Neurospora crassa OR74A: one gene and its partner. The protein of the gene in region 2 interacts with the protein of the main gene of each other region in a pairwise test. Links are inferred from orthologs where the notes say so. Each region holds a gene or a part of one and is shown on either strand. Other genes may lie near its edges.

Evidence for each region. The genes of interacting proteins can lie anywhere in the genome.
Region 1: the proteins of NCU06438 (region 2) and inl interact in a protein complementation assay, tested with the Saccharomyces cerevisiae proteins (2 studies listed by BioGRID). The link is inferred for Neurospora crassa OR74A from reciprocal best matches to the Saccharomyces cerevisiae genes SSL2 and INO1.

Annotation. Positions count from the first base shown.
Region 1 is NC_026505.1:4,182,769-4,189,665, reverse strand, and holds inl (inositol-3-phosphate synthase), read left to right. Parts: upstream 1-2,823; 5' UTR 2,824-3,180; intron 3,181-3,443; 5' UTR 3,444-3,589; coding exon 3,590-5,203; 3' UTR 5,204-5,679; downstream 5,680-6,897. Other genes in the region: NCU10547 (hypothetical protein), read right to left, coding at 5,698-6,145, 6,613-6,897. UniProt on the Saccharomyces cerevisiae protein: Key enzyme in myo-inositol biosynthesis pathway that catalyzes the conversion of glucose 6-phosphate to 1-myo-inositol 1-phosphate in a NAD-dependent manner. Rate-limiting enzyme in the synthesis of all inositol-containing compounds.
Region 2 is NC_026503.1:1,414,498-1,420,174, forward strand, and holds NCU06438 (DNA repair helicase RAD25), read right to left. Parts: upstream 4,138-5,677; 5' UTR 3,904-4,137; coding exon 1,315-3,903; 3' UTR 1,041-1,314; downstream 1-1,040. Other genes in the region: NCU06437 (hypothetical protein), read left to right, coding at 1-685; NCU06439 (zinc finger protein), read left to right, coding at 4,708-4,712, 4,840-4,883, 5,011-5,342. UniProt on the Saccharomyces cerevisiae protein: ATP-dependent DNA translocase. Component of the general transcription and DNA repair factor IIH (TFIIH) core complex. When complexed to CDK-activating kinase (CAK), involved in RNA transcription by RNA polymerase II.

The DNA.
Region 1 (6,897 bases), on a different chromosome or scaffold from region 2:
TTCGCGTACTTCAAGAAGACTGCCATTCCTCATGTTAGTCCACGGACTTGACTGGCTCACTTAGTCATCTGGCCCTCACCTTTTACCTACGTGTTCTCGATTCTGTTACATCCTCTCTCCTTCCTCTCCTCGTTCTCTTCGCTTTCTGCAACACCAATGCGGAATCTCTACTCCGGTTCCGGAAATGCCGGTATTCTCAGGTTGCATGATGTCTTTCCCAATCAGAAACTATGGGCAAAAGAGCTTCCTGTCTCTGTCGAGACGTTACGACTATCAAGGGCAAGTAAAGTCCAATAAGCACCAAGTGGCCTCGAATGATGAATAGTCTTGTGTTGTGTAACAACAATGTAGCCACTGTAGCCCCTTTCAGCGTCGTTCGTTGGCTGTCTCTGTCTGGGTTACTGTAGTCGAGCATTACACTTGGAGGCGAAGGGTCTGAAACTCGCCATCTCGATGCCTTCGGTAAATTTGCCTGTCTGTCCTTGTGTCTTGTCTTTGTTTTGGTGATGTGTTGTTGCAGACAGGACGGGGAAATGTCAACCTCGACTCCAGACCGCTTCCGTGGTTCAGAACCTCTGGTTTCCATAGCCCGAGGCATACCTAGACACACCACAGTCGGTTTTGTGTCACTCGAAACACGTTTCTAGGTGAAAAAAAAGGTTCGAGTTGAGGTGGATATGTCGTCTTTTCCGTGTAACAAAGGACCCTTGATCTTCGTAGGACATTTCCTGATGTGTGTGCGAGTGCGTCGTGTCCGTGTGCTCCCCGGTAGCGAGTTCCAGATCCCACAAGTCGGTTCTTTGTTGCGTAGCTAACAAATTCTCGACAGATACTGAGAGCGACTTAGTTCGATGGCGATGGCCACTTCTTGGAAGAAAGACCGTAAAAGAAAAGCCATTAATTCGCCAGGAAAAATACAATGTTGCTTCGGGCTTCTGGGAGGATTATGCTGGAAGCATTTTGAACAACAAAAAGACACCAAACCTACCCCTTTTTTTAGACTGGTGAAAGCAAAAAGGACAGGATGCATGGAATCCGAAAGTAACCTTCATCATGCAGGTGGATGTTGTTGGGGTTACCTATCAGTTCGAAAAGTGTTCCCAATGGGGACCATCCGTTGCCGTCATGATGCAACTTTGCGCTGTCAATTGAAGCTGCATGACGTGGGTGGGACGGGCCTCGAGCCAGGGGGGGGGGAAACATATAAGTAAGAAGTAAAAATAACAATAACAATACTAATAAAATTTGAGAACTTTCAACACCTTGTGTTCCACGATGCCAGTCGGGGCAAAGCTTTTCATTGCAGTGATGGTGTGGTACTTTGTGCAGGATCTCATGAGCCAAGGTGCCGAAGCCCTATCATGATTACAGCAACCGTACAAGTTGCGTTTGTTGGCCTGTGAGCAGATGACTATTCACATATGCTTGAGCCCAGCTGGAGCATGGTTCTTGTTCGCCATGATACGTACGACCGTGGGGGTTTGTTAACAATGAGCTCGCTTCTGGCCACCCTTTCTCTGGTTCTGCGCCCTCTGCCTGCAGACGAGAGACAGGATTACAGAAATCCAGATATCTTCGGGTGCTGCCACGACAACATGTCCAGGGATTGATCAACAATGGCGTTAATGACTCACGGTAAGAGCAGAAACTAGCAGCTGCGAGACAGCCGCAGTGCAGTTTGCGGTTCGATGTCAACCTACGACAAGCGAACACCGGCTCACAATAGTTGCTGATGCAATGCACTTTCGATGACGGACCAATGTCGAGCTCGAGACGCGGGATGTGCAAGAAGAGACAAAAATCGACAGACCGCCCTTCATGTTGCCGTTAGGACCGGGACGCTACCTCTACTGGTAGTGTGTGTACCTAGTCACAGGTACCTCCTTATCGGGCTCGGCACCCGAATCTGTCCGTTATCGAGTGGGCAAATCGGCAGGCTTGGCGTTGCCCGCTGTCTGGCGAGTCCCGTCTGGATGTCCCCAGTGCAAGATGGTTCAGGGGTTTCCGTGTCCGGACCGGGTGGGTGGAAGACCCGGCACCCCACATCACATTGTCCCCAACCTCCCCCGACAGTCCAACCTCACAACCGACGCGCCGTGGCACGATGGCCCTGTCGGGTGCGGGTGAACATTTGACTAAAGAATTTGTTGGAAACCCCGAATATTCGCCCTTCTATCGGAAAGCGTTGTACAGACCTTGTCTCTCACAGGGGGCAACTTTAACCGGCGCCTGTCGATTCGGTCGCCGAAAGGGCAGACAGCGGCTTCAGACAGGATCAGGATGTGCATGCGTGTTGAGGTTTTTGTGCTCGTGCTTGCGTACGTAGGTAGCTATGCCTGCACGCGAGCGATTGTCTTTTCCATCTGATTCCGATACCAAGTCCCCCCAGCTGGGGGGAACTGTTGAGGAGCCATTGAAAGGTGAACGAATCGACCAGGGAATGCGAGATCAAAGAACCATCCCGGGGTAAATCACATTCTCTCTTTTGACGTTATTATGTACTGTGTATTTCTTGGGGATATCGGCGATGGGCGTTTGCCATTGGTCGTGGCACGGGGTCGTATCACTAGCAGAGTCCCAACATATCGTGAAATAAACATATGATTCGACTTTGCAATCTGAAATGCCAATGTCCTCTGCCCCGGACCGGACAGGCAGATGCCACCTACGGGCGGGCAAGTCTAGAGCCCGAAAACCCCGGAGCTTGGACAATGGCTGCGAGATCCCTGTATGTACCAACTTGTATGGTAGTCTACCCCCAATTGTATACCTCTAGGTGCCCTGGCGCGCGATCTCGGACGCCCCAGAGTCCCGTCTCCCCCCTTGACCGCCCGCCGCCCGGCCGCCGCGCGCGTGGTGCATGGGAAATGGAGCTCCAACAATCTCCAGGGCAGACGTGCATCCACATCGGAACCACCTCACGAGAGGCTAATGAGGTACATCTCCCGCCATGTCCCTTGCGGGCGCCCTTGGCCTGTTTGTCGGGTCCCCAGGTATATAAAGAAGGCTCGTCAACCAACGTCTCTGATTGTTCTTTTGTTTCGATCCCCCATCGTCTTCAGAAAGATCCATCCCGGTCACAATCTCGCACTCCCCCCCCTTAAAGCAACTAACCATCTGATCGCGCTCCCGAGCCGCGATCCCATCATCCGCCAAAACGTTTTCCAACCTACTCAACTCGTAAGTCGACGGTTTCCAGGTTTCTGCCGCCGCTTGCATGTTCCTGCCATCCCTACGACCGCCCTTCTGTTGCGTTTTCAAGCCCTCGCTTGTTGACCCTTCACCACGCGGGTTGGTGTGAGTGAAGGGTCGGGGGAAATGTGTTTGAGGTCGTCCCATATTCCCTAGCCCAGTCACAGCCCTTGCGGCTCTGCGCTTTGTGCCACTGGCGGCCGTAAGAAAATATCACAATCTTTAGATCTTTCACTAATATAAATTATCAGAGTCCATCACCCGTACGCAGGAGCCCGTTGTTCTGCCTCGCCCGGAAGTTCAGCGGACTCGGTCTTTACCCCATAAAAGACCGTCAACAGCCAAGATAGCCAACCAACCACTTACCTGCACCTGAACAACCACCTTTACCGTCAACATGACTACCAACGGTATCAACGGCACCAACGGCGCTCATGCCAACGGTGATGGACATATCAACACCACCCCCAAGACTTTCGTTGTCAACTCCCCCAACGTAGTCTACACCGACGAGGAGATCCGCTCCAAGTACACCTACCGCACCACCCTGTGCACTGTCGAGGGCGACAACTATGTCGCCGTCCCCAAGGAGACTGTCTACGACTTCAAGGTCGACAGAAAAGTCCCCAAGACCGGTCTGATGCTGGTCGGCTGGGGTGGCAACAATGGCACCACCGTGACCGCCGGCATCCTGGCCAACAAGCACAAGTACAGCTGGGCTACCAAGGAGGGTACCCAGGAGGCCAACTACTACGGCTCCGTCATCATGGGTTCCACCATCAAGCTCGGCATCGACGCCAAGGGCAAGGATGTCAACGTTCCCTTCCACAACGTCCTTCCCATGGTTCACCCCAACGATCTCGTCATTGGCGGCTGGGATATCTCCGGCATGCCCCTCGACAAGGCCATGGATCGCGCCAAAGTCCTTCAGCCTACCATGAAGGAGCTTGTTCGCGAGGAGATGTCCAAGATGGTCCCCCTGCCCTCCATCTACTACCCCGACTTCATTGCTGCCAACCAGGAGAACCGTGCCGACAACGTTCTCCCCGGCTCCAAGGCCTCCATGGAGCACGTTGAGCAGATCCGCAAGGACATTCGCGAGTTCAAGGCCGCCAACGGCCTCGACAAAATTATTGTCCTCTGGACTGCCAACACCGAGCGTTACGCCGACTTGATTGACGGCGTCAACGACACCGCTGACAACCTCCTCAAGTCCATTGAGGCCGGCCACGAGGAGGTCTCCCCTTCCACCATCTTCGCCGTTGCCTGCATTCTCGAGAGTACTCCCTTCATCAACGGCTCCCCCCAGAACACCTTCGTCCCCGGCGCCATCGAGCTTGCCGAGAGACACGGTGCCTTCATCGGCGGAGACGACTTCAAGTCCGGTCAGACCAAGATGAAGTCTGCCCTGACCGACTTCCTCATCAATGCCGGTATCAAGCTGACCTCGATTGCGTCCTACAACCACCTGGGCAACAACGACGGCTACAACCTTTCCTCGCAGAAGCAGTTCCGCTCCAAGGAAATTTCCAAGTCCAACGTGGTCGACGACATGGTGGCCGCCAACAGCGTCCTGTACAAGGAGGGCGAGCACCCCGATCACACCGTTGTGATCAAGTACATGCCCGCCGTCGGCGACGACAAGCGCGCCCTTGACGAGTACTACGCCGAGATCTTCTGCGGCGGTCACCAGACCATCTCGCTCTTCAACGTGTGCGAGGACTCCCTCCTTGCCTCGCCCCTGATCATCGATCTCGTCGTCATCACCGAGATCATGACCCGCATCCAGTGGAAGGCTGCTGAGGCCGGCGCCGCTGCCGAGAAGGACTTCAAGCACTTCCACAGCGTCCTGAGCGTCCTCAGCTACATGCTCAAGGCCCCCCTCACTCCCCCCGGCACTCCCGTCGTTAACGCGCTTGCCAAGCAGCGTGCTGCCCTTACTAACATTTTCCGCGCTTGCGTCGGTCTCGAACCTGAGTCTGACATGACCCTTGAGCACAAGCTCTTTTAGGCTGTCAAACGTCAATCATACACGGCTGCAAGCACATTCTTGAGTGGAGGATTTTGAGATCTGAGCTTTTAGATGGAGGGATTTTGGGATAATGCGAGCCAGCCTGAGAGTCGCTGTTTGCAACAGCACAGCGTTAATGGGAAATTTTGAGAAAATGGTTAAGAGCGGGTGATATGCTGCCAGGAGGGAAATTAGAAAAGAAGATCATAGTTAGTAGCTTGATCTTTGCTAGATGCCTTGAAAGGTACAATAATGAACACCGTTCTTACATGTGTGGTTTTGCTCGACCTTGGTGATTGGTGTACGGTACTACTGTGGTGGTTGTTGACCGTGATACAAACTCCTACCACATAAACCACAACATCTTGTCATACTTGACTCAACATTCTCATCCTTGACAATTACTTTTCCTCCTCAGGTACTATCATTCCACGTCCATCAAGCGGTAACATATCAACCATTGGAGTCACCAACGCCCGTTTTCTCGAACATCTTCACCATTCCACGCCCAACACACAGAGCCGCTTGACCCCCGCAGACCACCCAAACGTCAAGGTAACACGGGAGTACAACAGCCGTTCTTCCAAATCTCTAAGTTCCAATGGGTCGACTTTGATCAGGTCCTTCCAGACATGTTGATGAGATTGAGGCACAGCATAGTAAGCATCGTGATTGTCTTCATGTGAAGTAGCAAGGTCAGAGACATCGTTATTCGGCAATGATTCAGTCGCTGTTCCATGCTCGCCGTCAAAACAGATGCGACGACCACCTCTGAGCAACTCAGACCATGCTCTGTCGCTCCAGACCAACTTGCACGGGGTGACGCATCCTGTTTCGTCCGCGACAGGTCCGATTACACGGGGGTTAATGGTCAGTTCGCAGTCTTTGTGGCAGTTCTTGCACGTCGCGGAGGACTGGTTGGAGTAAAGTGGAAAGTTGCAACTAGAGATAGGCAATGTCAGTTTTCAGTAACTAGTCTTTTTTTCTCGCCAAGAAAGGAAACAAGAGGCATGCTATTCTGCACCAGCTGCACTGGCGACCTGCGATGGGAATCGCTGCGTCTTCGGGCAACGATCAAGATACGAACTTCGTTCGAAAGCAAGTGGGAATGAAAGAGAAAAATACGGAGGACGTGGCGGGGCTCTTTTCAACCATCAATGAAGGCGACAAAAACAACAAGAAGCTCAGTCGCCCAGGAAACTTGGGGGAACGAACCACCATGCTCCAGCAGCGACCTACAAAAGCTGTACCACGGGTACCTCGCACACCGGCGATGTTTCTGTGAGTAAGGCCTGGTTCCAGACCTTATACATGATACGGTCCGTAGGTAGAGGGGTAAAGATGAGCGATGGGAGAAAGGCAGTCTTGTGTGAAGTACCGTACAGGCTAGTTACGGTAAACTGACTCACCATTCGAAACAACAAAGTCTGTTCTGTCTCTGGCTCTCGCAGATACTGACACCAAGGATGAGGACGTTGAGTTTCCCGGTAAACACAACGCTGGCGTCCTCTCTAACCCTCTCATCCACGTCTGCCAAGGTATAGAGTACCCTGTTCGGGCCGTTGATAGCTTGTTCGACATCCCATACACCAACGGGGAACGGCGTGTGTGCCCGCTCTCTCTTTCTTTGAGCTTCAGCCATTCGTCGAAGCCAATGAGCATCTGGAAAGTCGGGGTCCACATCCACTATCGAG
Region 2 (5,677 bases):
TATTACCGACGACCGAACGGGCGTTGAAAGGAGGAAAGTGTTGAACGAGATTGTCGGCGGACACCGCCTAAAGATTGAGAGTTTCCTGCTCGGGGGCGTAAGGGGAATGCAAATTTGGAGTTGGCAGCATGACGCGGAATCTTCGTCGTCGCCACTACTACTACCCTCTCCCACTTCCTCCCATGCCTCCCATACCTCGCATACCTCCCGTCGTGCGTCCTCATCCTCTTCCAAAGCAGACCAAGACGACACCAACGACACCACCAACAACGACAACGAAGATGAAGACAAGCAACCCAACCAAAAATTCCTCCTTCTCCAACGTCTAGTCTCCCTAGACGTCTCCCACCCCGCCATCTTACCCGACCATTCCCCCTCAGAGGAAGACCCGTTATCCCCATCATCACCACTTTTCTCACCAACCTCACCAACATCGCCTACCTCCTCATCAGCACCCCACCACCACGGCCGACTAACAACAACCGACCTGTTCCCACCCGATGGCGGCACGGGAACACGCGTGGTTGCCCGGTTTAGCTGGTACCGATCTTCCCCGGAAGCCAAGAACGAGCTGATTTTCCCCAAGGGGGCCGAGATCACCGAGGTGGAAGGGCTGAATGAGGAGTGGGGGGTGGGTTGGTATATGGGTGAAGTGGGATTGTTTCCTAGGGGGTATTGTATGTGAGGTGAGGTGATTTTTTTGCCGTTTGAAAACACTGTACATTACATTACTGTGAATGGAATGGAAGGGTATTTGAAACGGACGGGTTTGGTGAGATGGATGGATGGATGGATGGATGGGTAAATAGAGGGAGGTTGATGATGGAATGAAGATGATGAGAACATGAAGATGAAAGCTTGAATGATACTGGTACTACCCTACCTACTGATCACTAGCTAATTCATAATGAGTGAGTGAGTGAGTGAGAAGGCACTTGTTGAAAGTTAGGTGACATATCAAACTTGTGTGAATTAAGGTGCATTCATCCATTGAGCAAGGCAATTAATATATTTGTGTTATGTTCAAAAAAAACCCTTTTAAATTGTATATTACGATTTCGTGACCATCCAAATGAGTGCCACAATATGACACTGATAATATGGATGTCTTAAGACTACTGCTTTTTCCGTCTATGGAGAACGATTACACACCTAACCATAAATTCCAGTTTAACTTTCCGGAAAGTGGATATATCTCCTTATAGCAATGAAATTTCTTCGCAGGCTTTATAAATACGGACGGACGATGCAAAATGAGCGCAAAAAGAGAGAGGGAGAATACAAGTCAAAGACCCCAAATCAAGACGGTTTCTTCTAGCCCTGTCTCGCCAAAGCCCGACTCCTCTCCTTCTCCCTCTGCAGCTTCTTGAAGAAGGCGCTCTGCTCCGCCTTGGCGGCACCCTTCTTCTTCAACCCCTTATTCGCCGCCTTGTTCTGCTCAATGTACGCCATATCCTGACCACCACTGAGCTCGCCCAGGGTTCCAGCCATTCTCCGAACCGCCGCCGCTCTGCCCTTTGCGCCACCCCTTCCGCGCCCGACCTTACCAAACAGATCGTCCGTCTCGACATCATCCTCGGCGCCCTTTTCATTGTCGACCAGTGTGCGCTGCAGCAGCTCGCGCCGCTCCTGCGCCGTGGCGAAGGCCAGGTCGGGCGTGTTCTCGATGTTGGCCAGCTGCGTGATCACCTTGAAGGCGTAGCCCTGGTCGACCAGGAAGGCCTGGCGCTTGGACGAGTAGTACATTTCCTGCGTGTCTTTGGACACGAGTGAGTAAAAGAAGGCGTTGAAGCCGACGTCGTTACGGCGCTTGGCTCGGAGGATACGGCCTAGGCGCTGGGCTTCCTGACGACGGGAACCGAAGTGGGAGGAGATTTGGATGAGACAGGTGGCTTCGGGCAAGTCGAGCGAGGTGTCGCCGATCTTGGAGAGGAAGAGCGTGTTGACTTGCGGGTTGTGCTGGAAGTTTTCGAGCACTTGCATGCGCTCGGCTTGGCCGGTGCCGCCGTAGATAAAGACTTTATTTAGCTTGAGGGCGTATTGTTTTAGTGAGTACAGCTCGTCGGAGAAGACGATGATCTTGTCGCCGCGGGCTTCGTGGTAGTTGATCAGGTACTGGCAGGCCTGGAACTTTCGGGGGTTCATGGCGTAAAGAGTGCGCTTCATGCGCGAGTTGGCACGAAGATACTCGTCGTAGAACTCGGTGGGCATAGGACACCACACCTCTGCGCACTGGACCTTGGCGATGTGACCCTTTTCGGATAGCTCCATCCAGTTGGCCTCGTAGAGCTTGGGGCCGATTAGGAAGTTCAAGTGGGAAATCTTGTCGTCTTCTCTGAGCAGGGTGGCTGTGAGACCCAGCTTGGAGTGCGACTTGATGGAAGAGATAACTCTTCGGAAGACGTCGGCAGGGACGACGTGGACCTCGTCGAGAAGCATCAGACCCCATTCACGACTCTTGAGGAAATCCATCATCTTCTTGGAGTCGTGAGATCGTTCTCGGTTGTTGGTAACCATAGAATATGTAGTAACAATGATACCCGTATTACCAGAGAACTTGTTCTTGCTCTCAGCGGTAAAGACGGCAATATCGTCGGGGTTGATGTTGGACCACTTGAGGAACTCCTGGCGCCATTGCACGACGGACATACTGCTGGTACACAGGACGATGACACCCTTTTTGATGGTGCAGGCAGCCGTAATGCCGACCAAGGTCTTGCCTGCACCGCACGGCAGAACAATGATGCCACTCTTTGCTCTGCCGTTACCAAACATTTTGCTGAGACTCTGCTCCTGGTACGGACGAATCTGTGTGTTTGGTCGCAGATCGATTTCCAGATCCGCGTTATTAGAGTCGTTCCTGAAGTCGTACTCCTCCAAGATGGGAAATCCTAGGTCAAGACAGCGTCGTTGGACAATCTCGACGGCGGTTTCGGGGATCTCAAAGGCATGGACGGCGTCCTTGTCGTCCTCGTCGTCTTCCTCATTGATGGCTGCGTAGAGGTCTGCCTCGTTAGTCGCCGCAGCGTCCGCGGCCCCATCCTCGGCAGTCTTCTTGTTGCCAGACTTGTTGAGGCCTGCCTGGTTCACACCGGCGGCATCTTTGGTGCCGGGGATGACCAGGCCGCCCATGGTGGGCGCATAGGAGGTGGTAATATCACCGGAGCCCTGGACACGCCACTTTCCGATTACTTCATCGCGGAGCAGCTTCTGCAACAACTCGGCATCCGAGCTTTCTACAAAGTACTTGTTGTTATTCAGCACGAGTTTCACCTTGCCGTAGCTCTTTGTGCACGACTCAATGAAGAGACGAATGGACTCGGGCAGGGGGGTCTTGAGGAAGCGATCCAGGGTGTCTATAATATCCTTTGACTGCAGGCCAATGGACACACCAGCGTAGAGACTGTGGGCGGTCAACTGATACTCATGCAGGAAATGCGGCCGTGACTTGGGCTCGGCAATGGTGACGAGGAAGTCGGTGACGCGGTCGGCGTCCGGGCTGAACTTCTCGAGTATGATGGTGCCCTTCTCCGGGTCGATCCACAGCGGCTTCTGGTCGTGGTCGGGTTTCAAGTTCAGATACGAAAAGTCGCGTTTCCCGCTGCCAAAGAACTGGGTGGCGCCGTCACGATGACTGCCGCCACCGTCCTGTCGGGCCTGGAAACGGCTACTATCGACGGCCCATGTATTGACGAACTCGTCGGCCTCGCGGGCAATCACCTCCTCTTTCCTCTTGATGACCTCGTCGACGTCGTCGTCGTTCAAATCATCATCGCCGTCCGACTGGAACGAGCTCTCGAGGCTGCGGGGAGTCGCGGGGCCGGGAGTGGACAGGGCCGAAGTGCGGCCAGCTTTGGCAACGCCGGCCTGGGGGGCGCCGACCGCTTTTCGCTTGGGCGGCATTATGTGTATGACGAAAACGTGATCTCCTTTCTTTCTTTCTTGTCTCTGCTCTGTTTTATCTATTTCTAGCAGTTTCAGTTCTAGAAGGATGGATTAGCAGGCGGACAAATGAAGAATGCCAGTGCAGTGGCAAAAAAAGAATACAAGGTTGAAAGGATGGGAGTTTGAAATGGATGATGAAATTCCACTTTGTCTTTTGTACGCTACGGTAGATACCTGGCTCTACAAGCAGAGGTATTGTAGGGTACAAGTACAGCAGGCCTAGTTTGCTTACACTGCGGTTCCTGTCCTGTTATGGAAATTGTTAAGGCGATACCGTAGGAGCCGGGCGCCCGAGCCGCTGTGACAGCAAGGCCGACAGGGGCCAGACACGCTAGTTTAGTCATCAGCCACGCTTATTTTGTGGGGAAGCGAGTCTTCTGGAGCCAACCTGGAAGTGGAGGGAACCGTTCGGCGTTCAGTGCACTCCCTCAGTTGCAGGCTCCACCCGTGTCACCCGCTGTCCAGTCCGAAAAGCACCCCGCGTTGAGTGGTGGTCGGGTCGGTTCTGGTCTGGGTGGGTGGACGAAGGGGGGGGCGACGGGACGACCGCGTTAAGTGCCGTGATAAAGTTCGGTGAACCCTTTTTTTTCCGGACGTGAACATTGGCGATCAAGGAGAACGAAGCGACGTCGAAAGAATCTTGGTGTCGTACATACCACATAGAACCCAACAACGACGAAATATCATAAAATCAGGGATCAGAACGAGCCATCTACACTATCTACCTCTCTGCGCATAAGTAACCTCTTCCTGTCTGTCATCATGTGGTAAGTAAACTCCCACCTGCCATGCCATGACCTGACACTTCGGCATGCCTTCTACTTATGTTCCCCTTGTTTGCTCGTGTAGACCACTTCCACGAACCACCTGCTAACTAGATCCTCTCCCATCCAGTAAACACGTTCTCAATGCTCAAGTCTCCATCCGGTCACCATGCTGTACGTAACCTCAGTCTCAAATAAACGAACCACCACGATTCCCTATTACCAGTATACAACGACAACAACACCGAACATCGCAGCCATATAAACATGACCTCTAACTCTACACCCACCTCCTACGCAGGCCGCAAATGGTTCGACTGTCCCGAATGCCACGCCGAGTCCGAGTCGCACCCCCTTAAGAAGACACTCGAGATGACTTTTGCCTGCAAAAAGTGCAAAAAGTGTTTCCGCAAGGATGCGACCGAGTTCGAGGATTCCGACGAATACTGCCCGCACTGCGACAACCACTACATCATCGAGGCCGTGACGCCCAAGGCTGCTCTCAGGGTCGAGGGCGAGGATGCGAGAATGGATGCGCGCATGCTCAAGGACGAAAGAGTCAAGCAAACGAAGAAGACCATGAACCAGATCTCGATATTTGACCCGGATGTGGACGCTGATAAGCTTGGTTGAGTGGCTGGGCTGTTGGAGTTGGAGTTGAAGTTGGAGTTGGAGTACGGAATCACAACGCAGCGAGGAAGGGAAAAAAGAGATACCATTTAGAGAAGCATATAATCAAACTGGGTGGCTTGTTGTCACTCACATCATATTGCACATCGCACCATTATTCCGTCCGTTCAGGACCTTGCTTGGTCGTCATTCGTGGTATTACTTGTGTACCTAAAGGCGTCTTCCTTCTATCTTTCTGAAACGTGGTACGCAGTAGCAGCAGCATCAAGACATCTCTGCTACATCATGCCATACCCATCTCCGCCGCCGCAGATACCTTTACTCATTCGACTTGCTCG